4 linked regions of the Arabidopsis thaliana genome follow. The protein of the gene in region 3 interacts with the protein of the main gene of each other region in a pairwise test. Each region holds a gene or a part of one and is shown on either strand. Other genes may lie near its edges. The genes, in order: ZTL, KAI2, SK4 and IBR5.

Region 1 (9,193 bases), on a different chromosome or scaffold from region 3:
TTAAGATCAATAAAGTTCTTATAGACAAATGAAAAATGCAACTTGTGGAATAACACTTGTTACTTTTTTATTAGTGAATCGATATGATCCAAACGTATATATAAACCGTCTACAATATATATTAATTTTCATTTATAGAAGTTGACTTGTTATTTCACAGTATTTTTCACTTTTGACGGTTTGAATCGCAAGCATTGGTAGTATAGTTACATCTATTTCGTCAGTCCGAGAGATTTTACTTGCTATATTGTCCATATATATGTTCTATTTAATTTAGTCTGTTTTTACTCATAGATGCTCTCAAAACTTTATAATGATATGTTTTTACTCATAACTCATGTTCAAAACTTTATAATTATATGTTTTACTCATAACTCATGTTCAAAACTTGTCTCTTTTTCTGTTTAAGTGCTTAGTGCACATCTGCCTACATAACAATCACGCATGTTTACACATAGAAATTGTGTTCAAAACTAAAGGGTTTTTCTCTATAGTAATATTTCTCTTTAACGTTTATCCCTAGGCCCTAGCAAGTAATATTTCTTTTCAATATGTAGGTATTCTACTTAGTTTAGATACAAATATAATTATGAAAAAGAATTAGAAATAAGTTGGATGGTGGGGACAGATTACGCAGCGTTGCAACATATGTAACGTGAAATGATGGTTCGTACAACCTCACGTACACAATCCACTCAAAGTGACGTAGTGTCTTTGGACTTTGCCTTCGATGCATCTCATGTTCTCCTGGTCCCACGATCCTACCTCAATTTTAGATCACACAAACCCATCCCAATTGCTTCATAAAGGTTGTTAGTTTTAGTAAACACACTCAAAAGTGTTGAAATTATAATATTACATATTTTGCTCAAAAAGAGCTAAGGCTTTTTAAATGTACAAACAAATTCTCTTTTGTTATATATTTCTAGATTTGTCTACTTTAAACGTATGATGTGTTTAACACTTCTTTCAACAATATACGTGTATGAATAAACATGTTTTCGACATTCCACTTATGTCAATATCAACACATAATTTTATGGCTAAGCAGTAACCACCAGCTGCTGTGTAAAATCACACTTTAAAAAAGTTTCTTTAGCCTACATCTCTACGATCATGATGCATTGGCAATAACAAGATGACAACAAATTTTACAAAACAATTCTCATACCATGTGGCTTAAGAGAAAAGGCCAGCGAATTTATTCGAACCCAACATATATAGTGAAGATGTCTTTTTCAATCTCTTTTTTTAACAAGTATACTTTTTTTTTTTGGTAAATTTCTTTTAGTGAATTTACTTTCATCTTGAATCATTCTTTTTATTTTCAATTCAGTTTTGTTGATAATAGATTTTCATGAACGAACAAGGTTCTAAGAGATAATAATAATAAAGGGGGAAACAAAACACATGATAATAAGAATCTAATAAACAAGAGAAAAAAGAGAGGTGATGAATAAATGTAGAAGTCGAATCATACAAGAGGTGCTTGTTGGAAGGTCGTTGGACCAACGCTTATTGTGATATTCATGTTCGTATTCTCTATGTAGGTTTTTCTTTATATCTTCCCAGCATATACGTAGTTATTTAAGTTTCTTAGAAAATTACTATACATTGAATATCTGAAACAATTAATCATGATATTATGGAATTTTTTTTCTTTCAAAATTTGTATAAAGAAAAAGGAATTTTATAGTGGGGGCATTTTAGCATCTCGTCGAAGATATGAATGAATAGAGAATTTTGCAAAGTGTAAAGAAAACAACCGACCAAACCCACTTGTTCTCTCACGTCCTTTTTATGTGTTAAATTGTCATACACAAAAAAAATATTTACAATTATAATTTTTCTAAAGTCTTTAATGTCAAAATTATATGATCTATTTATATCAGTAATACAAATGTAAATCGCTATATTTTATATTTTTGTTAAAAACTAAATACCATAATTTAAAAGAAATATTTTCTTTTTCTTTTTATTTGCGAAGATATTGTTTAGTCGTATGGCATTGTATTAGTTACTTACTTAGTAGTTTTACAGAACGAGGTGAAGAATGTCGGAAAAAAGAAAGAGGTGACGAAGAATTTTGACCAATTTGCTACTTTGTAAGGGAAATATAATACAAAAAAATTGTATTTAGCATCATTACAAACAATTTCTCCATTTTGTTTTAACTTTTACTATCAATTTTATTATTTTTATACGAAACTTATAATTAATAACACGAGGTAAGCCTGTTTTGTTAAATTGAGTATGTCAATTCATTTCATGAGATAATAACCTTCAAATAAAGTTCATAAGATAGTTGCCCCATATCGGTAACTTAGGCTTATAAAACAGTCTTATTATTGGTGATATAAAACAGTACTTAACTACTTATATATAAGTACTTACAACTTATTCTTATTATTGTTGATATAAAACACTAAAGTTGGGTTAAATCTTAATTCCAATTCAGCTGTTTGATGTTGGTTTAAAAGTCTGTTTGCACCTATGATTCTATGATATACCGAACCGATTCGATTAACCAGTAGTTACGAGAAGTTATTTGTTTCAACTAACTATCTATTGATTTGATGTAACTAGTTTGGTCCTCTGCGTATAAAAGGAACATTACAGAAGAGATTAAATGATAGGCAATTGATAATTGAGACGGTTCAAGAAAAGATTTAGCAACCAACAACCTTAACAAATTTTCATTTACGTAACTATAATTATAGATCTTGCTATTTTTCCATTTTATGGCGTCTTCTTATTACGAAACTCATACTATTCAGTCACATAATCTCATTTACTGGACTATAATGGGCTTTATTGTAATGGGCTTTATTGTAAGACATGAGCCCACAAATTTGGAAAGTAATAAGCTTCAGCTCAGCTAAAGAGAGTCTAAAAACCAAAGGGAAAAATGTCATTAAAATCCCCAACTTATTGAAAAAGTTGATTTAAATCCTCAACTTCCAACGAAACGAAATAAATATCAAACTTTTGTTGATTTTCCAAATAAATACCAAATTTTGGTTGACTTTCCAAATAAATATCAAACTTTTGTTCGAGTAGCCATATTAAGTATGACATTAACAGACCCTGTTATTAGAGTCCATTTTTTGTTAACAGACTCGTTAATTGAAAACGACAATATTCCCTATAACAATAAAACAACGTCGTTATGTCATAAATGCTCAATTAAATCCCAATTTCAAATCATATGAAGATTTAGGGTTAGAATTTTGCTTGATTTGGAGATTTAAGATTGGATTTGGGAATTTAATTCGGTCGTTATAATAAAACGAGGTCGCTTTCTTGTTATAGGAAACAATAACGTTTTAAATTAACGGATCTGTTAACAGAAAATTAACTCCGTGAACGCAATATGTTAATCTACTTAATATTATACCTAATATGACCATATATACGAAAGTTTGGTATTTATTTGGAAAGTCAACAAAAATTTGATATTTATTTCGTTTAGTTGGAAGTTGATAATTTAAATCAACTTTTTCAATAAGTTGGAGATTTTAATGACATTTTTCCCAAAAATCAAGGGGAGTTTTATGGTTTTATCTACTTGACCCGACAGAGAAATCCGGACCCGGATAAAATCCGACCCGTTCGAATGAACTCATACGGCCGAGATTTTTCCACCAAACTCGACGGTTACCACTCGTTTCTTTGTCCACCATCTTCTCTCTCTCTCTCTCTCAACCCCCGAAAATCTCCTTTTCCCAAAATTTTCCGATTATCTCACGCCGGATTGTTTTTCAATCGCCGTCTTCATAATCTCCGGCGACTGAAATCAGTCTGGTAACTATTTGAATTTTCATGGAGTGGGACAGTGGTTCCGATCTAAGCGCCGATGATGCTTCGTCACTGGCGGATGATGAAGAGGGAGGTCTTTTTCCCGGAGGTGGACCAATTCCATATCCCGTTGGGAATTTGCTTCACACGGCGCCTTGTGGATTCGTTGTTACTGATGCCGTTGAGCCGGACCAACCTATTATATATGTCAACACCGTCTTCGAAATGGTTACAGGGTATCGTGCTGAGGAAGTTCTCGGAGGAAATTGGTTAGTTGTTTTTTTGTTATCTTTGTGATTAGTGTTCTAATTGATGCGAGGAATTTCTATTTTTGGTTATTGGCTCACTTTACCAAATTTTGGCTACTTGGTGGAGTTTGATTAAGGTCCGTTTAGTTTGAGGATAGGTGAGGAATGTTTGTGATGATGGTAATCTGAAGGACACTCTATTGATCACTAGATTTAGTATGGATGGATACTTTGGTGGAGAGAAAACAAAGATATGTCTATTGTTAGATAATCATTAGAGTCTCTGCCAAATGGCAGAGAAGACTCAGTGGAGTCTCTGTGTGTGCCTAAGTATTCTCTGCCTTCAGATGTTTATTCAGTGATTGTAGTTTTCATATTAATCGAGCTCTCATGGCTGTTTTTGAGCTGTTTCAGCTGCTCCGCATGTTAAGGAAACTTGAAAGTGTATATAGATGCCGAGATAAAGCGAGCTATCCCTGTGTAGTTTCTCGGGGTCGTAGCGAACACAATAAATTCTTTACAATGTTGATGTGCAGTGAACCAGTGAAAAGGCTAAGTCCAATGCGTTTAGTTGTGTGTTAGTTTTCCATGAGAGAAGTGCTAGTAGCTTCCTTTATTAATAAGCTTTGATCTTACAGGAGGAGCTGATCAGTTCAAATAGTTGTTATTCTTGAACAGAATGAAAATCTGGTTAGGTTATAATTATGCTTGTTTGGTGTATTTGTTTTTTTTTTCAGTCTCTACATGCACGGCCAAATATTTTGTCTATTGCTTTTCCGCATCAGTAAGTTGGAGATAAATTTTGTTTTTGGTCTTATATTGTTTCTTAATTAATTTCTCGGATTCTGCAGCCGCTTCTTGCAATGTAGAGGACCGTTTGCTAAAAGAAGGCATCCATTAGTTGACTCTATGGTTGTTTCCGAGATAAGAAAATGTATTGATGAGGGCATTGAATTTCAAGGCGAGTTGTTGAACTTTAGGAAAGATGGATCTCCGTTGATGAATAGATTGCGGTTGACTCCTATTTATGGAGACGATGATACTATTACCCATATAATTGGAATCCAGTTCTTTATCGAGACAGACATTGACCTTGGACCTGTTCTTGGATCTTCAACAAAAGAAAAGTCAATTGATGGGATATACTCAGCTTTAGCTGCTGGGGAGCGGAATGTTTCCCGAGGAATGTGTGGGTTATTCCAGCTGAGTGACGAGGTTGTGTCTATGAAGATATTGTCACGCCTGACACCAAGAGACGTTGCATCTGTTAGCTCTGTGTGCCGCAGGCTATATGTGCTGACAAAGAATGAGGATCTTTGGCGAAGGGTTTGTCAGAATGCATGGGGAAGTGAAACAACACGGGTATTAGAGACTGTTCCTGGTGCTAAAAGACTCGGTTGGGGCCGCTTGGCTAGAGAACTGACCACCCTTGAAGCTGCAGCTTGGAGAAAACTTTCGGTTGGAGGTTCTGTTGAGCCTTCTCGCTGTAATTTTAGTGCTTGTGCTGTCGGGAACAGAGTTGTTCTGTTTGGAGGAGAAGGTGTGAATATGCAGCCTATGAATGATACCTTTGTTTTAGATCTGAATTCTGATTACCCTGAATGGCAACATGTCAAAGTGAGCTCCCCTCCTCCAGGACGCTGGGGCCACACGCTCACTTGTGTAAATGGCTCCAATCTGGTTGTATTTGGTGGCTGTGGTCAGCAAGGTTTGCTGAACGATGTGTTTGTCTTGAATCTCGATGCTAAGCCGCCTACTTGGAGGGAAATTTCGGGTTTGGCTCCGCCTCTACCAAGATCATGGCACAGCTCATGCACCCTTGACGGAACCAAACTGATAGTCTCTGGAGGCTGTGCAGATTCCGGCGTTCTTCTAAGTGACACGTTCCTCCTCGACCTTTCAATAGAGAAACCAGTGTGGAGAGAGATTCCAGCTGCCTGGACTCCGCCTTCCCGGTTAGGCCACACACTATCGGTTTATGGAGGAAGAAAGATCTTGATGTTTGGTGGTCTTGCTAAGAGCGGGCCTTTGAAATTCCGTTCGAGTGATGTCTTCACAATGGATCTAAGCGAAGAGGAGCCTTGTTGGAGGTGTGTGACCGGTAGCGGAATGCCTGGAGCAGGAAACCCAGGAGGAGTAGCACCACCACCAAGGCTAGATCACGTTGCAGTTAACCTCCCTGGAGGCAGAATCTTGATATTTGGCGGCTCAGTGGCAGGGCTTCACTCAGCGTCTCAGCTTTATCTACTTGACCCAACGGAGGACAAACCGACTTGGAGAATACTAAACATTCCAGGAAGACCGCCTCGGTTTGCTTGGGGACATGGCACTTGTGTTGTGGGAGGAACACGAGCGATAGTGCTAGGTGGTCAGACCGGAGAAGAATGGATGCTAAGTGAGCTACACGAATTATCACTAGCGAGCTATCTCACGTAACCAAAGAGAGCCTATGTATGAAAGAGAACCCAGCCATAGAAGAAGATGAAAAAGGGTTCTCGGTTAGGATACTGGAGCTTTAGGGGAGAGCGACTCAGTGGTGGGACTTTGGTACTGCTCATATTTTTTAAGTCCTTCTTCTTCTTTCTTCCTCATTAGGAGGACTTTTAGTGCTTATATAATATATATAGTGAAAATGTCATCTCTCTCTTTCTCTCTGTAGTGCTTGTTTCTGTTGTTCTCTTTGAAGTTTGAGAAGTGCATTTGTGTTCATATTCTGTAAATTTTATTTATGATTACAAACTTTAATAAGATCCTTTCTCTTCTTATGCTATTGGACCACTATTTTCATTTCCAATTTCATACTTTTAGTTCGGAGACAAAATGAGATTATTATTATTTTTCCATTGAGTATGATGAATATAAGAAAATTGGAAAAATAGAGGATAAAACCCCAAATTTTCATTTTAATAGAAAAAATTGGGGAAGAAAATTTACAGTGTTGAAATTGGTTAAACCCTGACACTAGCACCTTCCTCAGTCGCATCACCACCATGTCAGAGCGCGACCGCCGCGAACGAGAGAGGGATAAGGACCGTGAACCAGACCGTGATAGACGCCGAGGTAGAGACGACCGTGACCGTGACCGTGATCGAGACCGGGAAAGAGATAGAGAGCGCGACCGTGACCGAGGGCTTAGAAACAAAAAATCCCGATCTCGTACTCCAGACCACCACGCTCGTGCTCGCCACGTGCGCTCTCCGGAGAGGTATCGCTCTCGTTCCCGCTCGATTGACCGTGACCGGGACCGGGACCGTCAACGACACCACAGGCGCAGGTCTCCTTCTCCAGATGCTCCGTCGCGAAAACGGCCTCGCCAGGGTTCAGTAGACGATGAGAAAGAAAGGAATCGCAAAAGAGTAGTGACTGATTCCGTTGACGAGAATGCGTCTACTATTACTAAGAAGAAGGATAAACAACCAAGTGATGCTGCTGATAATGGCGGAGGCGAAGATGAAGAAGGAATGGATGTGAATGAGATTGAGATGATGAAGATGTTAGGGATTCCTACTGGATTTGATTCCACAAAAGGCAAACCAGTTGCTGGTGCTGATGTTAGTGGTATTAGAGCTGTAACTAAGCGTCAGCCAAGACAGTACATGAACCGTCGCGGTGGATTTAACCGTCCTCTACCGGCCGAGCGTAATCGCTAGTCTTCTCAAGGTTAGGCTTTCCACTAAGCTTCCCAAGTTTTTGTTCTATCAATTGGAAGATAGGTTTAGCTCCTATGTGTAGTATGATTAAATTAGATAGGACTTAGTTCTTAGACTTGTTGGCTGCATTAGAAAATGAACTCATCAGCATCTTTTCAGATAATGGATTCTAAGTACTCATCAGGTTCAGCATTTTGCTTTCTCTATATTACTCACTTGTTTTGCTTCTCAATCTAGTTCACTGGTGGTTGTTTAGTTAGATCTATACCAGAGATCTTTGTTTCAGGTGATATCCTCACAAGCTCTATATACAGATAGTTCACTCGGTTAGTTTTGTTATCTGCATGAAGAACTATTTTAGTTAATCCAGAGGAAATGGAACCAGTCTTGTGTTTTTTAGTTTTCTTGCCTTGGCACATTTGAATCTGCATCTTACAAGATCAAGTTGTGCGAGTTACTGCGTAAAACCGATCATTCCACCTATGTGCTGGTATTTACCAATAGGTCTCAACTCTCAACAGCTGAATTTAGAATTTACTTGCCCTTGGATCATTTACTCTGATGAGATTAAGCAGTTTCGGTTTTTCTGATTATTAACTAGAATCTTTCGTGTCTCTGCATCCAGTTTTTGTTTTCGCATTGATCGATTTCTGCTCACCAACCTTTGAATATATCTTGCAGGTCCCTCTAACGCTGTCTTGAACACTAGTCAAAAAGATGAGGGCTAGAGCTGCATTTCCCAGATAGTAGTTACTAGTTACTCCAATTCTTCCCCAGACTCTGTTCTGATGTCTTATAGAGAACAAACTTGTACTCTCTGAATTTGGTTGGAAACAACTCGTGAGTTATTTCTTTTTCGAGATTTAAAAATGTTAATGTTTGTGTGTAATCTCCCGGCTCTAACTGTCAGACTATGGTTCATTTGAAATCAGGCTTATTCATTTTTGAGTTTTTCACTAAGCATCAGAAAGAAATTGGAAATGCGTACTTACATAATTTCATTCCAAAATTATCGTTATGGTTTACAATATCAAGCGAGTTAATAAATAGACCGATTTCAAAAGCTTTTAATGCCAAAGCTTGAGGCAGATCCCAGCAGGTACTACACCATTTGTCGATGATCTCTTACTCAGTATACTTTCTGAGAATGTATCCACAAGCTGTTGTCCCAAAGAAGACAGATCCTCCATAAACGTCTCAACAAAGATCTTCACAACTCTTACTTCTCGGTGAGTAGCTCTTAAGCTATACCATGTCAAGAACCTTTCCCTAAAACTCTTGTCTATATGTCCTTCTTCCTCTAAACATCTAATCGTCTTAACAATATGACCCAAGTCTTTATCTCCTACTCCATTTGCGGCATTATTGATCTCAGGTTTCTCGTTCAAGGATACTGTTCTTGATTTGAATCTTTTATTCCCTCCTTGCTTTCCTTTATAAATATCTCTCTTGCAGGGTGTTACAAGCAAGTCTCTTCCATCTATCTTGTTTGCTTTC
Region 2 (8,180 bases), on a different chromosome or scaffold from region 3:
AAGCCAGTGCCTCGAAAAGAACTGCAGCTTGTTGGTCTCAGTGCTCTTCTCATGTCGGCCAAGTATGAAGAAATTTGGCCACCACAGGTGATAAAAACAGAGAACTTTTGAATCTTCTGGTTTTGATTCTTTTTTGTCTTCGGCTAAATGAAAAGATAATTCTTTTGCAGGTGGAGGATCTAGTTGATATTGCAGACCATGCATACAGTCACAAACAGATTCTGGTGATGGAGAAGACAATACTGTCTACACTTGAGTGGTACTTGACAGTTCCGACTCATTATGTCTTCCTAGCTCGTTTCATCAAAGCTTCCATTGCAGACGAAAAGGTAAGAGAGCGTTTTTTTAGTTTCTTCCATGGTTATACATTTCATCATATTGAACATTCAGTTGTGTTTTGGTTTGCAGATGGAGAATATGGTGCACTATTTGGCTGAGTTAGGCGTAATGCATTACGATACGATGATAATGTTCAGTCCATCAATGGTAGCTGCTTCTGCAATCTACGCAGCAAGATCTTCTCTCCGCCAAGTTCCCATATGGACCAGCACTCTCAAGCATCACACTGGCTATTCTGAGACTCAGCTCATGTAAGAAAGTTCCTTTCTTTTTTCATTTGCATCATATGCGTTTTGCATTTGTGGTTGGATATTCATTCTTGTTGTAATGATGAAAAAGGGACTGTGCAAAGCTGTTGGCGTATCAGCAATGGAAGCAACAAGAAGAAGGGAGTGAGAGCAGTACTAAGGGAGCTTTACGAAAGAAATACTCCAAGGACGAACGCTTCGCTGTGGCTTTGATCCCTCCGGCCAAAGCTTTGTTGACCGGAACTGAATCTGCTTAGGAGTTAGGACCCTTTAAGAAGACGAAGAAGCTGAAGAACCAAGCCTAGTTTCATTTTCCTTCTGAAAATCAAGTCTAGTTTCATTAGATAATGGTATTTTGAACAAGTCTAATGAGTCGCTTTGAAACCTAGTCCTTTAGCATGATTCATTCCCAAACACTGCATATCTTGTAAGAAGTCAGTTTCTTCCGAGAAGTTTAATTTCCTTAGATATAATATTCTGTGGTTTAACTTCTTTAGTACACATGATTCATTCCCCAACACAGAATTTCTCTTCTTTTTTTTGATCAAACACCCCAGCACAGTATATGTTTCACCATTTCTTGTGTTCCTTCTGGTCCCGTCCATTCTGGGTTTTAAAACCACCTTCTGGTCTGCAAGATCCCCTTAAACAACTAAGCACTCCCATCTTTGGTGAGCATTTTGTTAGCCACAACCTCATAAGTCTAAATGGAAGTGCTAGCATCCATGCGGAAATTGTAAATCCAATCATCTTTGGATCTTCATCCGGAAAGGGAGAAGGTTTACCATATTAAGTTCCAAGGCCCTTTCTTCTAACCAATTCTTTACACCAATCCAATGTTTTAGATAACCGTGCCTCGAGGATCTCCAATATTGACCGTTTCCTTCTCTTTTCATCTTCAAGATCAAGAGTACGATATGCTAGTGTAAGCAAGTAGATACCTGGGTGCAGTCTCCTGGAGAATACAAAAAGTCATATATAAGTTAGATTACTTCACAAACAACAACTAATACAGAGATGTAACCAGACTTTATTGACTGAGGAAAAATGTGGTCAACGCAGATACAAGGATGCCAGTAGAATATCTTAAGCTGCTTTCTCTTCATATGTATAGTAAGCTTACCCATCCAGTGTACTCCCCTCTTCCAGGCCATCCCAGAATCTTTGTGCCAGGACCGTCCTGCTCTTTTTATCTTTCCCATAAGTTTCAACATACCATCCTCCGACATCATGCAAACCACAACGAGGCTCAAACAACCAAAACCTGTTTTCAAATCCATGCAATTATGGTTTCATGTCACTGAGGTAAGAAAGATGAAGGCTACGTTAGGGATCAGTATCATAAGTTCAGCATTCCAACAAAGATCACTGACTACTTCAGCATTTCAACAAAGGAAACTACAGAATTCTGTGTTCCAGATATCAATTTATTGAATTGCATTCTAACGAAGATGAAAACAGTGAAAAGGCTGTCCAATCTTGTTATTTTATCGAGTTAAAGGTGAGCCAGAACTAAAATAAAACAAAAATAATATTTGGCTTACTTGCTTGGTGGTAACTTCGCTCTACTGCATCTACATTCACAAATGGAAACCTTTTCCCCAATTTTGTACCAGTGCAAATGTCTCACCTGTAGAGTGTGGATGAAGAATTTTCATACATGCCTATTCCATCAAATAACTAGCGGATCATATCTCTATATGCATCACAGAACAATTCCCCGAAAAAGTACACGTTGTAATTTGCGAAAGGTACATAAAAAGAAATGCTAGATCATATAAGTCACAAACCAGAAATGTCCTATGTTTCATTATCACATGAGTCTTAGCACCATTCCCATCATAGACATAACATGAACCTTCATCTGGGATTGTCCCAAGACCACTTATAGTTCCAACAAGAAGTCTGGCACCACTTTCATTTCCCGGAGGCGATTCAGTGCCATGATTAGATCCTTCATCTGAATTGAGGAAAACGTGTATAAGATCGTGATCACCCTCAATTTGTTTCTTTTCATGATACCCTTTTGGGGGAACCCTAATGGCTGTAGCAACAACTCTTCCAGATACATGCAGCTGAATATCTTTATACGCATCAGAAACATGGTTTTTACTTCTTGAAGATTGTATATGAGATATCTGAAGACCAATCCTTTCAGCAGACATCATGTCATTGTTGCCTTTCTCAACTGCTTGACCAAGGTCCGAATCCATAAACGACGACAAAGCCAATTTCTTTGAGCAAGCAGAAGAAAGCTCAAGGAAGTTATCAACCAAGGAAACCATACCAAAAAGATCCCGTCCTGATACCAAATGCAAAACCTCTCGTGTATCATACACAGACCTTTCCTCAGCTTCAAAACAATCAGGAAGAAGCTCAACAGATTCAACATCAGGCCCAAAGTAGGCCGCTCGTATAGCTGAATAAAAATCTTCTTCAAGTTCATCTAAGTAACCAGTACCATTTGCTACTCTCTTCTCCAATACTATATCATGTATTGCTTCTCTATACCACTTTAACCATTCAACTACTTCCATCTCTTGACTCAATGTCAATCCTGTTTTATACCTGTGAATCATATAACCTTGTCCCGAGTGCTTCTTCATTACCATTCTCCGAGATAGCAAATATCTATCATAGTGTGCTCTCTTTTCAGAATCTGATAGAATCTGTATCATCACCACAAATCATTCATCAGACACTTCTAAAGCTATAACTCTATCACAAAAGCTTGAAAAGCTTGAAATTTTCGATTTTGAAACTAATCATAAGAGTGAAGAGTGAAGCTTTCTTCATTGTACCTCATAAGCAGCGAGAATCTGAACGAATCGTCTCGAATTTGATGGATCTTTCTTGGATTCGATCAGATCAGGATGAGTCTCCTTGGCGAGTCTGCGAAATGATGCTTTGATCTCTGCGATTGAGCTGGTTTCGGAGACATTCAAGATATCGTAAGCGTTCTCCACCGGAAACTCGTTCCGATTGGACTCAGCCTCGCCGCTCAGCAACCGAGTTCTTCCTTGACTCGGGTTAAAGAGAATTCGCGACGGTTCGAAACCGTAATTCAGTTGAACCGGAACTAATCTACTAAAACGCCGGCGTATCAACCCGGCGAGAATCGTCATTTCACGACCAGTATGGTTTACTCAGGTGGGAACGGAGACCGGAAGTGGAAAGAGGATAACGGCACGCCGATGACACGTGGGTCTCTCGATTTCACGCCACGTCATCACGAGTTCAGACTTTATTGGTCAACAGTAAAAACGGTCTTAGGAAAGAGAGAACATGAAGCCATATTACACTAAATGGGCCTTGAATTTTAATGGGCCAGGATCCTCTCACAGATATTTTTGACTCTTAAAATGATGAGGAAGTGGATGTGAATACGTGGTCGTATACTCACCATGGCATTCCATGAATAATTAATGTCTTCTAACTTCTAAATGATCGAAAAGTACTGACAAGTTAAAGTCAAGCAGAAAAAAACAAATATTATGAGGTTTTTAGATGCTATATTCATTGCAAGTTGTATACATGCGAAATTTAACTAGTGTTGTTAAAATAATAATTATATCAGCTTTTGACTATTTGCTGCCACTCTTTGAATGATTGAAACTAATTTTCTTTCGCATTAATGCATTGTTGAAATTCATGCACAAAATTAAAAATAATTGGTTCATGTATTTGTAACCCAATGTAACAATTTTATTGTTGAACAGAAGTCAGTAACTCCACGTCATGTACTCCATTAAATGTTCCAAAATATTTTGGGCTTGATTCCAAAAAACAAATTATCACGAATAGCGATGTTTGACAATCCAACAAACATGGTTCCATTCACCTTTTTTTGCCACCTGTAAATCGCGATATTTTAAATAATTTATTTCCTCTTCCACAGATACGAATTTTTTTATAAAGAATAATACGTAACACTCTAAAACAACACAAATATCATAATTTCTCCACGAACTGACTAAGAGAGGTACCAAGAAGAAAACCAGAGAAGAATCTTCTTTAGAGAGATGGGTGTGGTAGAAGAAGCTCACAACGTGAAGGTGATTGGTTCAGGAGAAGCCACGATCGTGTTAGGTCACGGGTTCGGCACGGACCAGTCAGTATGGAAACACTTGGTTCCACATCTGGTCGACGATTACCGCGTCGTCCTCTACGACAACATGGGAGCCGGTACGACCAACCCTGACTATTTCGACTTCGATCGTTACTCAAATCTCGAAGGCTACTCTTTCGATTTGATTGCAATCTTGGAAGATCTCAAGATTGAGTCTTGTATCTTTGTTGGCCACTCTGTTTCTGCCATGATTGGTGTCTTGGCTTCTCTTAACCGTCCTGATCTCTTCTCCAAAATCGTCATGATCTCTGCTTCTCCGAGGTATAACTTTTTCACAAGTTGTACATAGAAATATGTTTTGCTTTTTATCTCATCCTGACATAGTTTAGACAAAAGGGCTTCTCTGTTCCTTCTCTTGTCTGATTTCATAAAAACTATTAAACATTACAATTTAAATAAAAAAAAATCATCTTAAGTCCTTAAATTTACACAATTATCTATTATTTCGAAATATTTATTTCTCATTCTGACATAATTTCGACAAAGTGCCTCTTTGTTTATCCTCTTGTCTGAATTATCCTATTTCTCAAAATCAGTGAAGCATTTCATTATATATTTCAATAAAAATCCGTAAATTATGAACAAAAAATCATGAAATACCCATTTGTTTATTTGTTTTTTTTTATTTGGTTTTACTGAGGTGTTACTTACACTTTTTTTAAAAAAAATTGTTGAAACGGTGCTCACACAGTATATTATATATTTTAATTTTCTTCTGACAAAAGAAACATATATAATCAAATTATATTGTTTTGGTACGTTTATAGATACGTAAACGATGTTGATTACCAAGGTGGATTCGAACAAGAAGACTTAAACCAACTATTCGAAGCCATCCGAAGCAACTACAAAGCGTGGTGCTTAGGTTTCGCTCCACTCGCCGTCGGTGGCGACATGGACTCCATCGCCGTTCAAGAATTCAGCAGAACACTCTTCAATATGCGTCCCGACATAGCTCTCTCCGTCGGCCAGACCATTTTCCAAAGTGACATGAGACAGATCTTACCTTTTGTCACTGTTCCGTGTCACATTCTCCAAAGTGTTAAGGACTTAGCTGTACCAGTCGTTGTCTCCGAGTATCTTCACGCCAATCTTGGCTGTGAATCCGTCGTCGAGGTTATTCCTTCTGATGGTCATCTTCCTCAGCTTAGCTCACCAGATTCTGTTATTCCTGTCATCCTCCGTCACATTCGTAATGACATTGCTATGTGATTGTAAGAGATTTAATTAGTTAATTATTAAACGATGTAAGAAAAGTTGAAAAAAAATATCTGATGTGATATGTCTGTCTAGTCTATTGAGAACATTATTTCGTTGTCGTTTGGTTCTGATTCGTTTATCTTGAGTATCTTGATCTTTGTTGTTCTTATCTTGTTTAACGAAAAGTCTCTGTCTTTTGTCCACAGCTTTGCTCAGAGCTCATTATTGCTTGATGTAATAGTGATGTTCGTAATTGATGGTCCATAGTGAATTATTGCAACTTTGCAAGAGTGCTTGTGCTATACTGTGTGAAGAGTAATTAACATGTGATACTAGGAATTAGCATTGAGTTTGCATTTATGGATGGGTAATCCAAACCATAAAACATACATATTGTGATGGTTTTGAAATTTGTTTGTTTGTGAACAAAAATTAGCCAAGTTTTAAACAAAGTAAAATGAAAATTTAGGGTTTTGAATTAGGATGGAGTTAAGTCATATTTTGTTAGGTTTGTTTGCTTATGAAATTATGGATTTGTTTGATGTTATTATAGGGATGCGGTGCAAAAGATATTGTTTTCTATATTATCATTTATCACTAATAACTTTCAAATTTTATTGACGCGCCTGCTCAGATTTTATTCGATTTGTTGTTTATGAAATTAGTTATAGATTGGTAAGTAAATAGCTTTAAAAAATTAGTGATACAAAACAAAATGGTAAATATTGTATTGCTTCTTACTAGTCAATACTATGATTAAACTTCCATTTTATAATTCACTTTATATAAAACTTCTATTTATTTTCTTAAAATTATTTTATTATTGAAATTTAAATATCATTTGGTACAATATTATTTCTTCATCACTAGTCAAATACTATGATTAGCCTACCCAAAAAAAAAGTCAAATACTATGATTAAACTTCCATTTTTTTAAAATTCATTGCAGGTCATACAATTTAAATGTTTACATAGTCATGAAAGAATTGAGAACATATATATACTTCAAATTTGTTCTCCAATACAGTCACACACCTAACTTCAATTTGCTTAGAATTTCTTTGGCAAGACGATTAACAGAGCTAGCCCATTGTAAAAGGGTAATAAATAATAAGTGGGCTAGGCCCATATATACACAACAAAAAGTCACGTGACAAGAAACTTCATACGTGTGCGACTCTTGCCCCAAAATTTGATTAGCACCACTTATTGAGAAGCAGCAGCAGCACCACAAGCACCACCACCAGTATCACATTCACATTCACCATCATCGTCTCTTCGCTCTTATCTCTCCGTTACTTTTTTATTTACTATCTCTCTCTTCCCCGTTACTTTTTTTTCTTCCCCGTTTCGTTCTCCGTCAAAGTCTTCTCTCTTTACCATTTTCTCCACTGTACTAATTTCCCTTTTTACCCCTAAACCCATCGTTCCCGTGACACGACGGCCACGAAGAAGAGGGATAAAATTGAGAAAGATTAAATAGGCGATTGATTTCTCCATCGGAGACACCACCGCTCAAAAAATGGCGACGGCGACGGCGACATCGGAACGATTCGAGTTAGCCAAGCACTGCAGTTCACGGAACTGGTCTAAAGCGATCCGAGTTCTCGATTCGCTCCTTGCTAAGGAGTCTTCAATTTTGGATATATGGTTTGGTTTCGAGATCTTTGTTCTCTCATTCAATTTCTCCGGATCGGTATCAATGATTTTTCTCCCGTTAATCTCAGTATTTTTTTTTGAATTGGGAATTTGGTTTCAGCAATAGAGCGTTTTGTTATAATCAATTGGAGCTTCACAAGCATGTGATTAAGGACTGTGACAAGGCACTTCTGCTTGAACCTTTTGCCATTCAAGCTTTTATTCTCAAAGGTTAGTTCACTTCCAAGCTTTGACTTGAGTGCTTCATAGTTTCTCTGGGAATTGAGTTTGATTCTCGGGATAGCTTCAGAACTAGAATTAGGGGTTTAGATAATGCTATAGTGCCTGCTAGTTATGACGATATAATGGTTGCTTAAGAATATCTGTTAAGTTATATATCTTATCGGGGATGGAATTTTTTATGGTTACCGGATCATGGTTTACTTTGATTGGTATACTGCATGTGAACTCAAGTGTATCAGCTTTTCCATCTAGGACGCGCTCTTTTGGCTTTGGGGAGAAAACAGGAAGCTGTTCTTGTTTTGGAGCAAGGGTATAAAAGTGCGTTGCAGCAGACAGCAGATGTGAAGCAGTTACTTGAATTAGAAGAACTCTTAAAAGATGCA
Region 3 (7,536 bases):
TGTATTTAACATTAAAAAGTGACATTTGTCAAAGGTAGTAAAATTAACTTGTTAGAAGTTAGGACTTTAGTTTTGCTTCTTAAAAATAATCTTACTTTTGTTCAAAACAAAAAAAATCTTAGTAAAAAACATTATAGCTATTGATGTAACGAATTTAATTTTTAACAAAAGAGATCTAAGGTACTCAATAGAATAATAATGTAGATAACTAGATGTACATAAACTTGACAACCAACAATATTGAATTTGGTCATGATTAATGTTTTTTTCTTTTTGGGATAAAATGTGAAATTACTACCAAAAGGAATTATTGTTTTACAAAGGTTTTAAACTAAACTAAATTTGTTCATGATTATGTTTAATATATGGTATCCATACATACATAAATTACAATTTCCTTACAAAGATTTTCTTTACTGGACTAACGTAAATAAATTAATAACAATAACCTATCTATATGGATACACTTGAACAGCAATTATACGAATATGGAGCAAGACAAATAGCAGTTCTAGGAACACCACCACTTGGCTGCGTACCAATACTAAGAACTCTAAAAGGAGGTCTTCGTAGAGAGTGTGCTCAAGATATAAACTATGCTTCTCAGCTTTTCAACGTCAAACTCTCCAACATTTTGGACCAATTGGCAAAAAACCTACCAAATTCCAATCTCATTTACATTGACATATACTCTGCTTTCAGTCACATCTTAGAAAATTCAGCAGATTATGGTAATATTAGAACGTGAATATTTAATTCTTATAAGTACTAAACTATACAAGCTCATGTATATATAACTTGAGTTGAGAATTAATGCAGGGTTTGAAGAAATAAAGAGAGGTTGTTGTGGAACTGGATTTGTGGAAGCTGGTCCACTTTGCAATCGATTCACAACATTTGTGTGCTCCAATGTATCTGCTTACATGTTTTGGGATAGTCTCCATCCTACCCAAAGATTCTATAAAATCTTAACCAAAATACTTTTTGAGAAATACATCCACAATTTAAATTGAGTAGTGTGATCAAATGACTCACATTGTATGCTTTTATTTTTCTTAAAGCTTGTGCAGTTGTTATAAATTGTACAAAATTATTGTAAGTCACTATATTGATTACCAATTGATTTTAAGAGAAACTTTTATCACTCTTCACATGCTTTCAAAGATCAAATCCATATCAATCAGTTCATTTGATCGACAGCTATTCTGTTTATGTAATGATTATCTTTTTCTTTTTAGGTCATGATGATGTAATAATATTATAGCTCTCTGAAGTAAAGTAATCAACTAGATAACATGAAATATAACCAAATTATATGATTTAATCTGCACATTGTTGTGGGGGTAAATCAGTCAAATAATTGAATAAGACTGAGTGGTAAGACTTGATTTGCTGGATTGGCTAAATATATATTATCAGTCCAGTGATACAGGGAAGAGTGTTGTTCTTTAACCACAAAAACAAACAAGTTTCATACCATTATTCAAGGGACTCGATGAACTCTCTCAACCCTTCTTCACCTTTGTATAAAGTATGACGATAAAGTAAACAAATTCTTTAAAAAAAAAGAAAAACTAAATTGAAACTAAAATTCGAAACAAAAAAAAATACTAACAAAATAAAACCTAAAATTTATTTGAGATGGAAAATGCAAACATCAAAGTTCTAGTAGTATTATTGTCTATATGGATTTCATGTGTTCAAGCTCAAACTGGAACATTTTCAGCAGTTCTTGCATTTGGAGATTCGATTCTCGATACTGGTAACAACAATTTGCTCATGACAGTATCAAGAGGCAATTTTTTGCCATATGGACGCGATTTTCCTCATCGTATTCCTACAGGAAGATTCGGGAATGGAAGAGTTCTATCAGATTTAGTTGGTACTAATTGTTCTCTATACAACATATATATATAAGACCAATTTTCTCTTTCACATTCTTTAACCTAATGAGTAATCAAATAGTTCGAGAATCATTCTATAATGAAAATGTACATGGTATATATGTATGTAGCCAGCGGTTTAGGGGTAAAAGATCTTTTACCTGCTTTCCGGAGCCCATTTCTTAAAAATAGTGAACTCGCTACCGGCGTTTGTTTTGCATCCGGTGGTTCAGGGTTAGACAAATTCACTGCATCTATACAGGTAAATCTACTTGTTATGTACTTCTTACTTTCAATAAGATAAAGTAATATATGTTCTTACTCATTTACTATATGTGCAAACTATATAGGGGGTTATATGGGTACAAGATCAGGTGAGTGACTTTCAAAGATACTTAGAAAAGTTAAACCAACAAGTTGGAGATGCAGCTAAAGTCAAAGAGATTATAGCCAATGCTGTGATTCTAGTGTCTGCTGGTAATAACGATCTTGCCATCACATATTTTTCAACTCCGAAGAGACAAACGAGATACACTGTCCAAGCATACACTGATATGCTCATCGGTTGGAAAACTACCTTCATAAATGTATACAACACACATTTATTTATAACTTTTTTTCTTCATAATATTGTTCTACCTATAATGATTATTTTGTATGAATAACAGAGTCTATATGATCTAGGAGCTAGAAAATTTGCAATTCTTGGAACGTTACCGTTAGGGTGTTTGCCAGGGGCGAGACAAATTACCGGAAATTTGATATGTCTTCCGAATGTAAACTATGGTGCTAGAGTTTATAATGACAAAGTAGCTAACTTGGTCAATCAGTACAACCAAAGGCTTCCCAATGGCAAATTCGTCTACATCGATATGTATAACTCACTTCTTGAGGTCATCAATAATCCTAGCCAATACGGTAAAACATTGAGTAACACACGCAAATTTTGAATATATATGGTAGAAAAAACAAGGGTGCTAATTTCTACATTGTAATACATTTCAGGGTTTACGACGGCAAAACCATGTTGTTGCTCGGTGATGACTCCGATTCCGTGTTTAAGATCTGGTAGTCACGTGTTCTGGGACTTTGCCCATCCTTCTGAAAAAGCCTATAAAACTGTTCTACCTTAGATCCTCAGTACCATCCAAAGCAACCTCGCCTAGTCACTAATTTTCTCTTTCTTTTTTATATTTAGACATGAGAACCATGAACCTTGGTTTGAATATGATTAGTTCCTCGATCGACGATGAGCCGCTTGTAGGTCTCTATTGTTAAGCTTGATTTATGTGTTCTCATCAATTAATCAGAATCAGTGATAATTTCATTTGCAATAATTTTGGTGCTTCTTAGTTTACCAAACCAGAAAAGTTATGTGTTTGGAAAAGAAGAAAAAAATACTAGAAGAAGATAAAAGATTTCCATCCAACACAAATACAAAGATCAACAAATGAGAGAAATACAACACAAATAAATATGTTATTAATTTTGGTTTGTTTAGTGTAACGCAATATTTTTCCCAAAAATTGTGGTGTTTGTTACCTACTTTTTACATTTTCCTTGATATTCACTACAAAATACCCAAATAATAATTCATAATTTCACATAGATTTTTACATACAAACGTGGAGGTTTTCTTTGATTAAAACATAAAAACCCTAGTCAATGATTTTTGCACACGTAGATAAACTGTATTTTCTGAAATCAGATGTAAATCTGAAAAAGTAAATATTATTAACGGAATACAGCTAAGGTGAAGTTTGTGGAAAAGTAAAAATATTTACTTTATTTAAAACAACATAAATTTTCCATTTTTTAAAAACTTAAATTTCCAATATTTGTTTTACTTTTTACTGTTCTCCTATTAGTAAAAGGAGTAGATTAACTTAAAAGCAATAAGCCGGCAAAAAAAAAAAAACTTAAAAGCAATAAACCGACTTGAATACCAATTAAGAAATTGGCTATAAATAAGGCTCCAACTTCCCAAACCTTGACACCATCACAACAATCAATCGCAGCGCCGATTCTCCTTCAAAAACTTTTCCTAAGTCGTCACTTTTTACGATGGCAGAAACGAAGAAGATGATCATCCTTAAGAGCTCCGACGGTGAATCCTTCGAGATCGAGGAAGCCGTCGCTGTTAAGTCCCAGACGATTAAGCACATGATTGAGGACGACTGTGCCGATAACGGAATTCCACTTCCCAATGTCACCGGAGCCATCCTCGCCAAGGTTATTGAGTATTGCAAGAAGCACGTTGAAGCCGCTGCTGAAGCTGGTGGAGACAAGGATTTCTATGGTTCCGCTGAGAACGACGAGCTTAAGAATTGGGACAGCGAATTCGTCAAAGTCGATCAGCCTACTCTCTTCGATCTCATCTTGGTTAGTAAAGTCGCTTTCATTGTTTAGGTTTGATGTTGTTAGAATTAGGGTTTTTAATTTGGGGATTTAGGTTTGATTTTGCAGGATTCTGTTAGGGTTTTAGTGTGTTGAATGTCGTTTTGATTTGACTAATCGTTTTGGTTCTTTGGTTTGTACAGGCTGCGAACTATTTGAACATCGGTGGACTTCTTGACCTTACGTGCAAGGCCGTGGCTGATCAGATGAGAGGCAAAACTCCAGAGCAGATGCGTGCACACTTCAACATCAAGAACGATTACACACCTGAGGAAGAGGCGGAGGTTCGCAATGAGAACAAGTGGGCGTTCGAGTGATTGGATCGGATCTGAAGGGTGTTTAGGAATCTCTAGTCTTTCTATTTAGATGTGTTTAGCTTTCAAGATTTCGGATTGTTTTTTTTTTCTTTCTTTTTCTCTTCGATTGGAGTTGTCCTTGTCGATGAAAACCTAATGCTTTGTTCTACTAACAACATCTATTGGTTTTTATGAGAAATATTTGAGAGAAAGTGTTGGTCTTGCTTAATCTTTTTGCTCTTTATACATGAATGTGTTCTCTTTAGATTATCGTTAACGTTCGCTATCGTTGTCGTCTTTGCTGGTTACAACGAATGGACTTCTCACATTGTACATTCCGTTAGACCATGTTATAGATCCAAACGCATCGTCCTTGAGTATTGTTGTAGTAGATGAAAAGATCACTTGGTAGCTGAGTTTATCTCCTATCTTCCTGAAGTGTAGCCTTCTTGGTATAACTCTGACTAGTAATCCTTCTGGTGCATCGATACTCACAGTGTAGACTGTATCTTCATCTCCAATGAGGCGTGATGCTACATTTGTCACTGTTCTGCTTACCCTTCTGCTTTCTTTTCCATTGAAGTTAGAAATCGAGATTGATGGGTAGTTGATGTTAGATATGTCTCCCCTGTTGCTTTGTTCAGGACAAGCAAAACCTTGTGGTATGCGGTTTGATATCTTTTTGATCTGATCAGATGTAAATCCATAGTAGCCGAGGAAGTTTAGGTAGTCCATGTGATTGGTTTCATAAATCAGTCCTGGTGATGAAGGTCCAAATATAGTAACCTGCCCAGCACCAAAGTCATAAGGTGTGGCCTTTTCTCCTGTTTCTGTAGTTATATGGGAACCTGTGTTGGTCATTTGCACGGCTGCAGATACAGTTGACTTGGGTTAACTCTAGCTGATCAATCATCCGTAACTGGTATCTACTTGATTTTGATTTCTCACCTGTTGTCATGATGGCAGATCTGATTGCTGCAGGACTCCATGAAGGGTATCTGGATTTGAGACGAGCAGCAATCCCGGAGACATGGGGACATGACATTGAAGTCCCTGATTCAATGTTGAAGAGTGGCGGTGGCTTGCCTTCTGGTGCTGCATTTCTGTCACCGACTAACCACGATGCTAGTATGTTGACCCCTGGTGCTGCAATATCAGGCTGTAACAGGTTTATCAATATTTTGTTTTTGAAGTTTCTGTGAATACTGTTGAGATCATGTTTATGATGAATATTAGGGCTTATACCTTGAGGATGCTTCTGGTAAGCAAGTAAGGACCTCTTGATGAGAAGGATGGTATGGATGGAGCTAACATGTGTCCTGTTCGTGATCTTGTAGGCATGATTGTTGCAATTGGTTCTCTACAATATGGATTATGATATATTAGTTCTGTTTTTTTTTTTTTTTTGGGTAAAAATATTATTATTAGTTCTGTTTGAAAGCAATGTCTTGTGAAATGAGACATCTTAAACCTTGTTGAATTTATGTAGGACATGATTTGTATGCCGTCCTCTGGTTTTATTATTGTCACTAGAAAGGAGGGATCAATAAAAGACAGATCCATTGACTCGTCATCAACAAGTACCATACCGATACCTCCAAGTCTCTTAACCTCGTCGCTTTTCCACTGGATCACCTGGTTATCAAGATCACTGTCACACACAACAATCTTTCCCTTAACAATGGTTTGGTCTAGTGTATCAGGTGCGCAGTTCCTGAAGGTTTGCAGTTGTGTTGTCTTGTTAGTATAGGTATAGCAAAGTTACTCTATAATTTTACGAGGCAACTATTACCTAGCAGCTTCCTCATTAGCATCAATCTTCTTGGCTGATCGTGCGTGTATAAGTGGGTAAGCCTGTGTTTTATCGATATTGGCAATATTTATTCCAAAACCCTGCAAAAGAAATTCTTTAAGATGTTATGTGAATGGAGATTTGTCCGTTGATTGGCTTTTCCTTCTTACCTCGATTAATCTGTTTTCATCTCCTCCCAGAAGAATGTTGGACTCAAAGCCACGGTCAATAGTGCTGGCAGCAACAGTGATCATCCATGGAGCAGCATTAAACACACTTTGACTCGATGGGCCAGAATTTCCTACAGAGCAAACAACAGTGATCCCTCTTTCCACGGCATGAAATGACCCGATGGAAAGCGGATCTTCAAGTAAATTGTCTGGCCATAAGCCCATTGATATGGATATAACATCAACCCCATCTGCGATTGCATCATCAAATGCAGCTAGTATGCTCGAGCCACGACATCCCAGGAGTGAGCACGCTCTGTACATAGCTATTCTTGAACTTGGTGAACCTCCTCTCATGATTCCACTTGCCAGGCCATAGTAGGACGCATTTGCTATTATTTGCCCTGCTGCTATTGATGCCACATGTGTCCCGTGCCCCAAAAAGTCTCGTGGTGTCTCATAATCGGGGTCTAAGAAGAATGACGAATTGTAATACCTTGCTCCTATCAGTTTCCTGTTTATCCAAGTTTGAGGTGGTAAATTCAAACATATATCGGATCTCTACATGTGTTCTACTTTCCTCAGTCTCAGCTTACCTATTGCAACGGAAAGAATCAGGTTGTGTCTTCTTCCCTCTCATGCAAGTGCCCTTCCATTTCTCTGGGACTGGACCCATGTGCCTGTCGTTAAAGCTCTGCGCCTCGGGCCATATTCCTGTTTTCTCCATCAGGATATGCTGCATTGAGTATTTGTTTTACTGGAAGTAGATAAAAAGCGCATATAAATATTTCATCACTTCATACTGCTCACCTGAATCAAGGAAGCCGATAATGGTGTCTCCTTCATGCATTTCGGATTCTTGTTCATAGTTCATTTCGGTGAAGTAAGTATCTCTTTGATAACTTTCTTGCACCAAGAAATCCCATGAACGTGTGGTGTGGAGCTGTAACATCTGGTCAGGGAAGACAGATAGTACTCCCGGTTGCTTGGCTATGAGA
Region 4 (8,132 bases), on a different chromosome or scaffold from region 3:
CTGTTCCTTTTTGTTTGATCCTTTAGGAAAAACACAAATATTAAGAAAACATATGAAATGTTGCTTTTAAATTTACTGTTTTTCGTGATTTACAATTTTCAATAACTCTAAACCAATAATATTTAATAATTTGTATCGAAGTTTACAATTTATCAATTATAACTAACAATTATTGCATTGAAAACCTAAAAAATAATCTTTTTTAAACAATTTTTTTTTCTAAACAATCAAACAAAAAAGAACAGATGGAGTACTAATTTAACAGAAGAAAAAAACTCTTACTTGATAAGTTTTAGATCCAAAAACAATAAACATAGGCCATTCAACATCTACAATCACTCACTGTAAGTCTATAACTATCACTGTCTCCTAAACAAGTATCACTATGACTGATGGGCCTCAATAACATGCTGATAAGAAGTGGGCTTAAGAGGCCCATTAAAGTCCCCATGAGAAATCTTGCTTTCATCGCAGTTCATTGTTTAACAACGTCACTTTCACTCTTTCAGAGTTTTTGATTCTCTCTCTTCTCCGAAATGATGTTTCAGATTACAAAGAGCAAACTTCGTTTCCCTCTCTCAACATTCACTAAGAGATACTCATCATTTCAAGCTGCTAAATCGGTGATTGACAAGGCTGCAATCGATGGGGAGCTCAGAGTTTTCATCGTCTCCGGCGAAGTTTCCGGCGATAACATCGGTTCTCGTCTTATGTCCTCGCTTAAAAAGCTCTCTCCTTTACCCATCCGTTTCAATGGAGTTGGAGGGTAAGCACTTGGGTTTCCCCCAATTTAGAAGTTTCTTATGAAAAGTTTTGATTCTCAATTGAAAATTTCATAAAGTTGGAACATTTGTATCTTTGCTTCTTACAAATTGATAGATCCTTGATGTGCAAGAAAGGATTGAATTCGTTGTTTCCAATGGAGGATTTGGCTGTAATGGGTGTATGGGAGCTTTTGCCACATTTGTATAAATTCCGTGTGAGTAACCTTTTGAATGGTTTGATATAAAGCTACTCTAGATTCTTTTGATTGACTAGTCTAGTTTTTGAGATACTAGGTGAAGTTGAAGGAGACTATTGATGCTGCGGTTAAGTTTAAGCCACATGTTGTTGTGACTGTTGATTCAAAGGGCTTCTCTTTCCGTTTACTTAAGGAGTTACGAGGTAAACAACACAAAACTTGTTTCATCAAACTTGTACGAGAGAATCATTGAGCTTTAGTGAATAGAATGCTTGCTAAACAGTGTCGCTTAACGACTAAGACATACTAAATTCAAAGCTTCATTGTGGTTTTCGAAAAGCACAGTTTTCTTGAATAGTACCAAGATTTATGTATGGAAGCTTCTTCTCCAGTAGGAACATGTTTTTGCGTAATTTGACACTAATCTCTAGGATGATGTCCTTGATTTTGTTTTCTGTAGTAGAAGTTGAAAAAGTAGAGAAATAGGAACCTTAGAAATGGCTTTTTGAAGCCAAACATTCCTGAATGAAGTCATATATATCATGTAGGACAATGGAGGAATGCTTTTTGGCTTTGCAGCTAGATACAAGCAGCAGCGGTTGGAAAATTGTTCTGTGCATTTTCACTATGTCGCACCGTCGTTCTGGGCTTGGAAAGGAGGAGAGTCAAGACTTGGAGGTCTGTCTGAATTCGTTGATCATCTTTTCTGCATTCTTCCGAACGAGGAAAGGGTTTGTAGGGAGCATGGGGTTGAAGCAACGTTTGTTGGACATCCTGTTCTTGAGGATGCTTCTGAGTTCGACCTTGTATGCGTTTTCTTCTTCTTCTTCTTGAATTACCTCAGTTTCTATGACACTCTGTCAGAATTCTAAGTGAAATGGTGCTCTTTTCTGCCACAGGTGAGAAGGTGCAAGCCTCAGGAACTGAAACTTGAAGGCTTGAGTTTTAGCGAACACTCAATACCTTCTGGTAATGTGAAGTTTATCAAAATGATTTAACTTTTCTACAGATTGGATATCTACTTTTATTGATATCTCATTGTTCTTCTGCTGCATTGCATAACTTTTCATGAAACAAGACTCCACTGTCATTTCGGTTCTACCGGGGAGCAGATTACAAGAAGTTGAAAGAATGCTACCCATATTTTCCAAAGCAATGAAGCTACTCAAAGATCCGTTTCCAAAACTAGTAACGCTTATCCACGTCGCATCCAATAATCAAGTTGATCATTACATTGGAGAATCCTTCAGTGAGTGGCCAGTTCCAGCAATACTAGTCCCTAGTGGATCCACTCAGCTTAAATATGATGCCTTTGGCGTAAGTCTTTGAAACCTCGTTCTAAGTGTCTCATCTGTTTACTCCTCTCATTTTGCGGTGTTCCATAATAACAGGCGAGTCAGGCTGCATTATGCACTTCAGGAACAGTTGCTGTTGAGTTGCAGCTTGCTCATCTACCTTCCCTTGTTGCTTACCGAGCACATTTTCTAACAGAGCTATTAATCCGTTACAAAGCCAAGATACCTTATATTTCTCTCCCAAACATTCTCCTAGACTCCCCAATCATTCCTGAAGCTTTGTTTCAAGCTTGTAACCCTTCAAATCTCGCATCGATACTAGAGTATATCTTTTTCTTTTCACCCACTTTTACTTTATATTTTGTTATCTGGCAATTGAGAAATGGGCATGATGATGACGTGAGATGTTGTTTGAAACTGTAGGAGACTACTCTTGGATGAAAAGATGAGAGAAAGACAAGTTGTTGGTGCTGAGAAGTTGATACAGCTCTTGCATCCGTCAGAAAGCAGAATGGGCAACTCAATTCATTGCACTGGTTTGGAATCTCATCGATATACGCCAAGCATTTTAGCAGCTTCGACTATTCTTAGTTATGCCAGGCGTTAAAAACTATCGTGAGTCACATGCCTTTGTTTGATACTAGAGTACGCTGAGATACTTGCTATAATCTAAGGTTGAATTTTTTTCATAAGAGTTCTAACATATGGTAAATTACAGTTAAAGGCGAAATGATCCATGTAGATTAGAATGTCTCAGCTTATTTGGTTTGCAGTCTAAGACAAACAGTCAAAAAGGGCTTTCGAAAGCATAAAAGGATAAAGTGAAAGTATTGAATGTCTAAGCTTATCTGCTTTGCAGAAACAGATAAGATCCTACTAGTGTGGCTTGTCATAACTGGTTTAATAGTATATTTCGCTGTAAAGATCGATACAGAATTGTGGGAGAGTGAGGAATAAACCAGACAAAGATGCTTCCAATCTCATGTTCTCAAACCCCAAACTCTCTCAAGCAATGCACCAATCTCCATGTACAAAAAAGAAAAAGAAACATTCTCACAACAGTATATTTGTTGATGAAAATTCTTGCAAGAGTATATGATTATCTGGTTCTAAGAGCCATCCATTGCAATATCACCACCAGTTGTTGGCTTTGGTGGAGTTGCTCCAAAAGTGAACTCCTGAGGAGGGATACTTGAAGCAGGAGATGAAAATATAGAAGAAGTAGGAGCATTGTTGAACACAGGAGCTTGTGCTTGATTATCAATCTTAGGGAAACCAAACCCAAACGTTGGAGCATCATTAATATTCATCGCCGACATCATCTCAGATCCGAATATCCCCTGCTCAAACTCCTGCAGTTGTTGGTAAAACTCTGTGTACAAAGAAAAAGCAATGAGTAACAGTTTCAAGAACAATAAGTAAGTTTCTAATCCAAAGTCTAAGTACTTGCCTGGACTTATGTCAGTGCTTGGTCTCCGTTGTTTAACCCACTGATGACTCTCAGCGAGTCTCCACCCTTTTCGTTTCATCAAGTACGCTACAACAACCGCTGGTGATCTGTCATGTAATCGAAACACAAAACATATCACTCTATTAGTCTAAATAATTAATGGTAATCATAAGAAAGCAGCCGCAAGTTTAGGATGAGAGTAAGAGAATGATAAATGTACTCACCTACTTTTCCCAGACATGCAATGCACAAGAACACGTGCCTTGTCCTTCTCACATTGGTCTACACAAAGCAAGACCGTCAAGAAAAAATCATAAAGATGAAATCTAGAAACTTGAGATAGAATCAACATACCTAAGAACTTAATAGCATCATCAAACTGTAAAACTTTTTCATTATCAAGACCATGATAAGTGAATGAATTCCTGTAGAGATTCTGGCACATAGGAACCGTCTGAAACAGAGTAACAAAAACAGAGTCAATACCAACAAATAGTAAACAACACATTCCTCTCTATTACCATAACAGGAACTTTAACAGAAACCATAAGTCAACAAAACGTATAAGTATAAGAAAGATTCATCTACAAGGCAAAACCCTAACTAAACAAACCGATTCAAAGATTCAAAGATCTTATCTTTTTCTTAAGGGTCATCATCAATGTTTAAAACAAAAGCAATTCATGAATTCAAAATCAAAGCAAAGAAACTCACATTAAGAACACGAGAGATTCCTTGAGTCTTAAGAAGCTCAGAGCGAGAAGCGTTGTCGTAACTACCGAGGTAAAGAAACTCAGGGAGAATCTCCGACGGAAAAGCACTGACGTGGACTTGTTGCGGCGCCACCGTATCGGAAGAAACAGGCATACAGTGACCACAGACTCCACATACTTCTCCTTCCTCGTACTTATGGTAATGCCCACAAATCGAACAAGGGTTCTCTCTTTCTCTCTTCCTCATAATTTGATTTCGAAAATTAAACCTAGATCTGATTTCTGATCAAAACCCAGATCAGAGAAAACCCTTGATTTCACAGACGGAGGAAATTAGGGTTTGGGTTTGGAGAAATTTGTTTGAACGGAAGAATTGGGAAGGACGGAGAAGAAGGAGAGACTTGAGAAGAGAGTTTTTTTTGTATGAAGAATTGTTTTCTTCTTCGATGGGATTAATACTGATTCGGATAGATACGTGCCACGTGGAGTTTAGATTTATGTAAATCTTCTTTAAACAGTCTCTCAGTTTAACAGGTTCTGTAATAGATACGGGAGAGAGAGGATCTCTAACTGAGTCAAAATTGTTAACTGAGCCATTTATTGCAGATTTACTTTTCTTTTTTTTTGTTCAGGATTTACAGTAAAAATAAAAAAGAATTTTTTTTTTTTATTTAAGTATATAGTCCATTTTTTTATTTAATTTTAAATTTCCAATAATATTAAATCAATATACATGACAAAACGTTTAAATAAAGTTACAGGCCCAAATACACAATAAAAACCGAAATTAGGCCGCATGTCCAAATAGATGGCAAAATGCCAAAAACCGAAACAAGGCTCCAGGTCCAGAAGAGAAACCAACTGAATCTTCTACTGAAAAACGCCAAACCAAGTGACAAGGAGAGATGGACATGGGCGGATGATCTGTTGAGCTCTTGATAAGAGATCGAGGTGACAACAGAGGATGTTTTTGATCTCAAGAACAACTGTAGAGGCAGGTTTCCATATATAGTCCATTTAATGATTGGATTTTGCTAATTCTGTTAGGGATATTGTTTTATGCTAATTTCATACTTATTATTATGTTAACTTGGTTTTAAAGGGTAAAGTAAAAGTTTAAATAATAAAGTTATTTAAATTTCTTTTATTTTTGTTGTCGACCGCTAATAATTTAGCTTAAAAGAGTCATTCCTAAGAAATGTTGTTTACATAGGTAATATGATGCGGTTCGATACGGATTTTTCTTGTCAAAGAATCCGCTATAATATTTACACTACCAAAAATTAAAGATGAAGAAAAACTTGTGAATTCTTTCTTATTGTTCCGTAATTCCTCCAAATACTCTGAGAAAGTCGTCCATTCGGTTGGAGAAGACACTATATTCACCAGGTCTGAACAGTTTGTAAAAAGTTATTTAAACTTTATTAAATACGAGAACAGTATTTGATAAGGGAAACTGAAATTAAATTATTTATTTTACAAAATTTAATAAATGTGACTTCTCGCAACGTCAAAAATATATGTACATATATATATATAATAAATGTTACGCAAATTATGTAGAATTCATTGTCATTATGTATGCATAGTAATTAACTTTTTTACGTCTACATAAACGATTTCGATCGTTGTAAATGACATTCATTATTTCAATTACAAGAGAAGTAATAAAACATTTTTCTCCTCTTTTGTCTCTTTACTATTTAGTATTTTGATCACTTTACAAGTTTAAAAATAATCTACTATTTATATTTATATCCACCATAAAAATAATTCACTTATTTGTAACAATTTGTAAATTTATAATTCGCTATAAGTGTTAAAATATAGGAGATTGACATAAATGACACTAAAAAGGTTTATTATTGCAAAAATGACACATTCTTTTAAAACTTGTACAAATAGCACACAAAAATTTTAATCCTCTAAAAATTAATTAAAATAAAATATAGAAAATACACAATATCTAATCTCATTTCTTCCAAATCCAACAGCTTTGCCTTCGAAAAACCCGACGACTTCGTCGCTCACCGGATCAAATCTGAAATCTTCAATGACACTCTCAACTAAGCCCTTGAATGAGATATTCTCATCTACCTCACAAAGGGATCCACCTTTGTTTGTGTCTACAAGAAAACCCACTAAAACTTATCATTTTGTTCACACTCTCCACAAACAGAGTATATCTCTACCATTTATATACCAACCCTAAAGAAAGCAACAACTAATACAATAAACAAACTAGAAGATCTATAGTATAAAAACACCAAAAATCTACAAAACTTTCAAATACTTGGACATGACTTACAATTATTTCAGAGATTCGCTTGTTTTTTAATGTTTGTGGATGATATATTCCTGAGACAACAAGACTAGCTGCACAAAGAGGCAAATATGTCATGTTAGGTGTTCAAAATCGATTGATTTTGATGCTTATTTGCAGTGAATCAATTCACGAATCAACAAATTCGCCTAATTCCACATTGAACGCCCATTATACCAATATTAATCGTCTAATTTCGTTTCCGAAACGTTTCGAAAACGAGAAACGCACTACGGGAAGAGTTCCCATGCAACATAGATTATTATTAATAGAGCCAAAAAAACCGGACACTAGTAAACCAAAACAAACATGGGCCATTATTTATAACAAGGCCTAAAAATGAAAACCAAGCCCAACAAGAAAACTCTTAGGCAAAGCAACACACTCTGTCATCTCTAAACGTGGTGCCGTACAAATGAATTTCATTGACTTGTTTACACGCGTCCAACTCGTCATCTCTGTTTTGTCTATCGCCGGATTGGAATATTCGCCGGCAAAGAGAGAACAGTCGAATGATTCTTTCTTGACCTGGTAATCATGTGGAAAAATTAACGATTCTCAAATAAGCAACCAAATCTCTTTTGATTTCTACTGAGAATAAATGATTCAGTTCTTTTTGTTATAATCTTTTCCACAATACCATGCTTTAATAGATCTTCATGCGCTTTCTTAAACTTCCATATCTCTATTGAATTTTTAGATCTTGAGATCTAATCCGATTAGAAGGTTAATTTTTTGAAGCTCCATACTCTTCCGTCAAAGCACAAACCTTAGAGACTTTCTTCTTCAAAATTGAATGTCACATATATCAGAACCATTAATGTCACATATATCAGAACTATTAGAGATTTACCTTGAAGTCCAATGTTTTTAAACCCGACCCGGACAATGAACCGGACTACCTTCTTGGTTACTGGGTCATTGGGTCAACCAGGTTGAACCACGAATCAATTTTTTTTTTTTTTTTTTAATAGAGATTTTAGAGTTTTAGAATTTTTATAAATTTAAAAACAAAAATAATCATATCATGTTTATAAAATATAAAATCAGATTATGTTTAATAAAAAGTAAAATCATTTACACCAAAAAAAATAATATATATATATATATAATATATAATATCAAACAATAATAATGTGATTAAACTTTTTAAATCCAACTAAATGTTTAATACTGTAACAAATATAGTAGGAGATTACCAATGCCGAAAATAAACTAATAAAATATTGTGAATTCACACAATTAATACCGGGTGTCTCACTCACCATTCGATTTATTTTTTAAGACGGCACTGTGAAGTCTTCGTCGAAATTTAAAATATCAAATGAGTTTAACAACTGAAATTTTTTTTAAAAATGATTAAATAAAGTATAAAATCCTATATTTTATT

The links.
Region 1: the proteins of SK4 (region 3) and ZTL interact in a two-hybrid assay, tested with the Arabidopsis thaliana proteins (3 studies listed by BioGRID).
Region 2: the proteins of SK4 (region 3) and KAI2 interact in binary tests that used the Arabidopsis thaliana proteins (3 or more experiments, as listed by UniProt).
Region 4: the proteins of SK4 (region 3) and IBR5 interact in binary tests that used the Arabidopsis thaliana proteins (3 or more experiments, as listed by UniProt).

Annotation. Positions count from the first base shown.
Region 1 is NC_003076.8:23,237,775-23,246,967, forward strand, and holds ZTL (Galactose oxidase/kelch repeat superfamily protein), read left to right. Parts: upstream 1-3,652; 5' UTR 3,653-3,822; coding exon 3,823-4,067; intron 4,068-4,897; coding exon 4,898-6,441; coding exon of another isoform or gene 6,442-6,482; exon of another isoform or gene 6,483-6,549; coding exon 6,550-6,641; 3' UTR 6,642-6,816; downstream 6,817-9,193. Other genes in the region: AT5G57370 (U4/U6.U5 small nuclear ribonucleoprotein), read left to right, coding at 7,037-7,696; VIN3 (Fibronectin type III domain-containing protein), read right to left, coding at 8,764-9,193. UniProt on the Arabidopsis thaliana protein: Component of an E3 ubiquitin ligase complex that plays a central role in blue light-dependent circadian cycles.
Region 2 is NC_003075.7:17,614,793-17,622,972, reverse strand, and holds KAI2 (alpha/beta-Hydrolases superfamily protein), read left to right. Parts: upstream 1-4,316; 5' UTR 4,317-4,609; coding exon 4,610-4,977; intron 4,978-5,483; coding exon 5,484-5,928; 3' UTR 5,929-6,314; downstream 6,315-8,180. Other genes in the region: CYCB1;1 (CYCLIN B1;1), read left to right, coding at 1-87, 171-329, 409-590, 679-844; AT4G37483 (uncharacterized protein), read left to right, coding at 1,153-1,380; AT4G37480 (Chaperone DnaJ-domain superfamily protein), read right to left, coding at 1,377-1,542, 1,711-1,851, 2,132-2,217, 2,378-3,256, 3,389-3,712; SRFR1 (Tetratricopeptide repeat (TPR)-like superfamily protein), read left to right, coding at 7,439-7,566, 7,676-7,785, 8,050-8,180.
Region 3 is NC_003070.9:6,982,483-6,990,018, forward strand, and holds SK4 (SKP1-like 4), read left to right. Parts: upstream 1-3,829; 5' UTR 3,830-3,947; coding exon 3,948-4,265; intron 4,266-4,423; coding exon 4,424-4,597; 3' UTR 4,598-4,849; downstream 4,850-7,536. Other genes in the region: AT1G20132 (GDSL-like Lipase/Acylhydrolase superfamily protein), read left to right, coding at 476-731, 820-1,013; AT1G20135 (GDSL-like Lipase/Acylhydrolase family protein), read left to right, coding at 1,642-1,882, 2,015-2,145, 2,234-2,470, 2,552-2,801, 2,889-3,016; AT1G20150 (Subtilisin-like serine endopeptidase family protein), read right to left, coding at 4,850-5,445, 5,525-5,735, 5,822-5,936, 6,048-6,290, 6,369-6,469, 6,539-7,052, 7,135-7,252, 7,349-7,536. UniProt on the Arabidopsis thaliana protein: Involved in ubiquitination and subsequent proteasomal degradation of target proteins. Together with CUL1, RBX1 and a F-box protein, it forms a SCF E3 ubiquitin ligase complex. The functional specificity of this complex depends on the type of F-box protein.
Region 4 is NC_003071.7:1,585,072-1,593,203, reverse strand, and holds IBR5 (indole-3-butyric acid response 5), read right to left. Parts: upstream 5,012-8,132; 5' UTR 4,667-5,011; coding exon 4,421-4,666; intron 4,161-4,420; coding exon 4,061-4,160; intron 3,989-4,060; coding exon 3,931-3,988; intron 3,814-3,930; coding exon 3,707-3,813; intron 3,629-3,706; coding exon 3,366-3,628; 3' UTR 3,038-3,365; downstream 1-3,037. Other genes in the region: LpxB (transferases, transferring glycosyl groups), read left to right, coding at 537-766, 880-979, 1,059-1,164, 1,541-1,767, 1,861-1,930, 2,040-2,278, 2,353-2,579, 2,680-2,863. UniProt on the Arabidopsis thaliana protein: Required for the transduction of auxin and abscisic acid (ABA) signaling pathways. Dephosphorylates and inactivates the MAP kinase MPK12.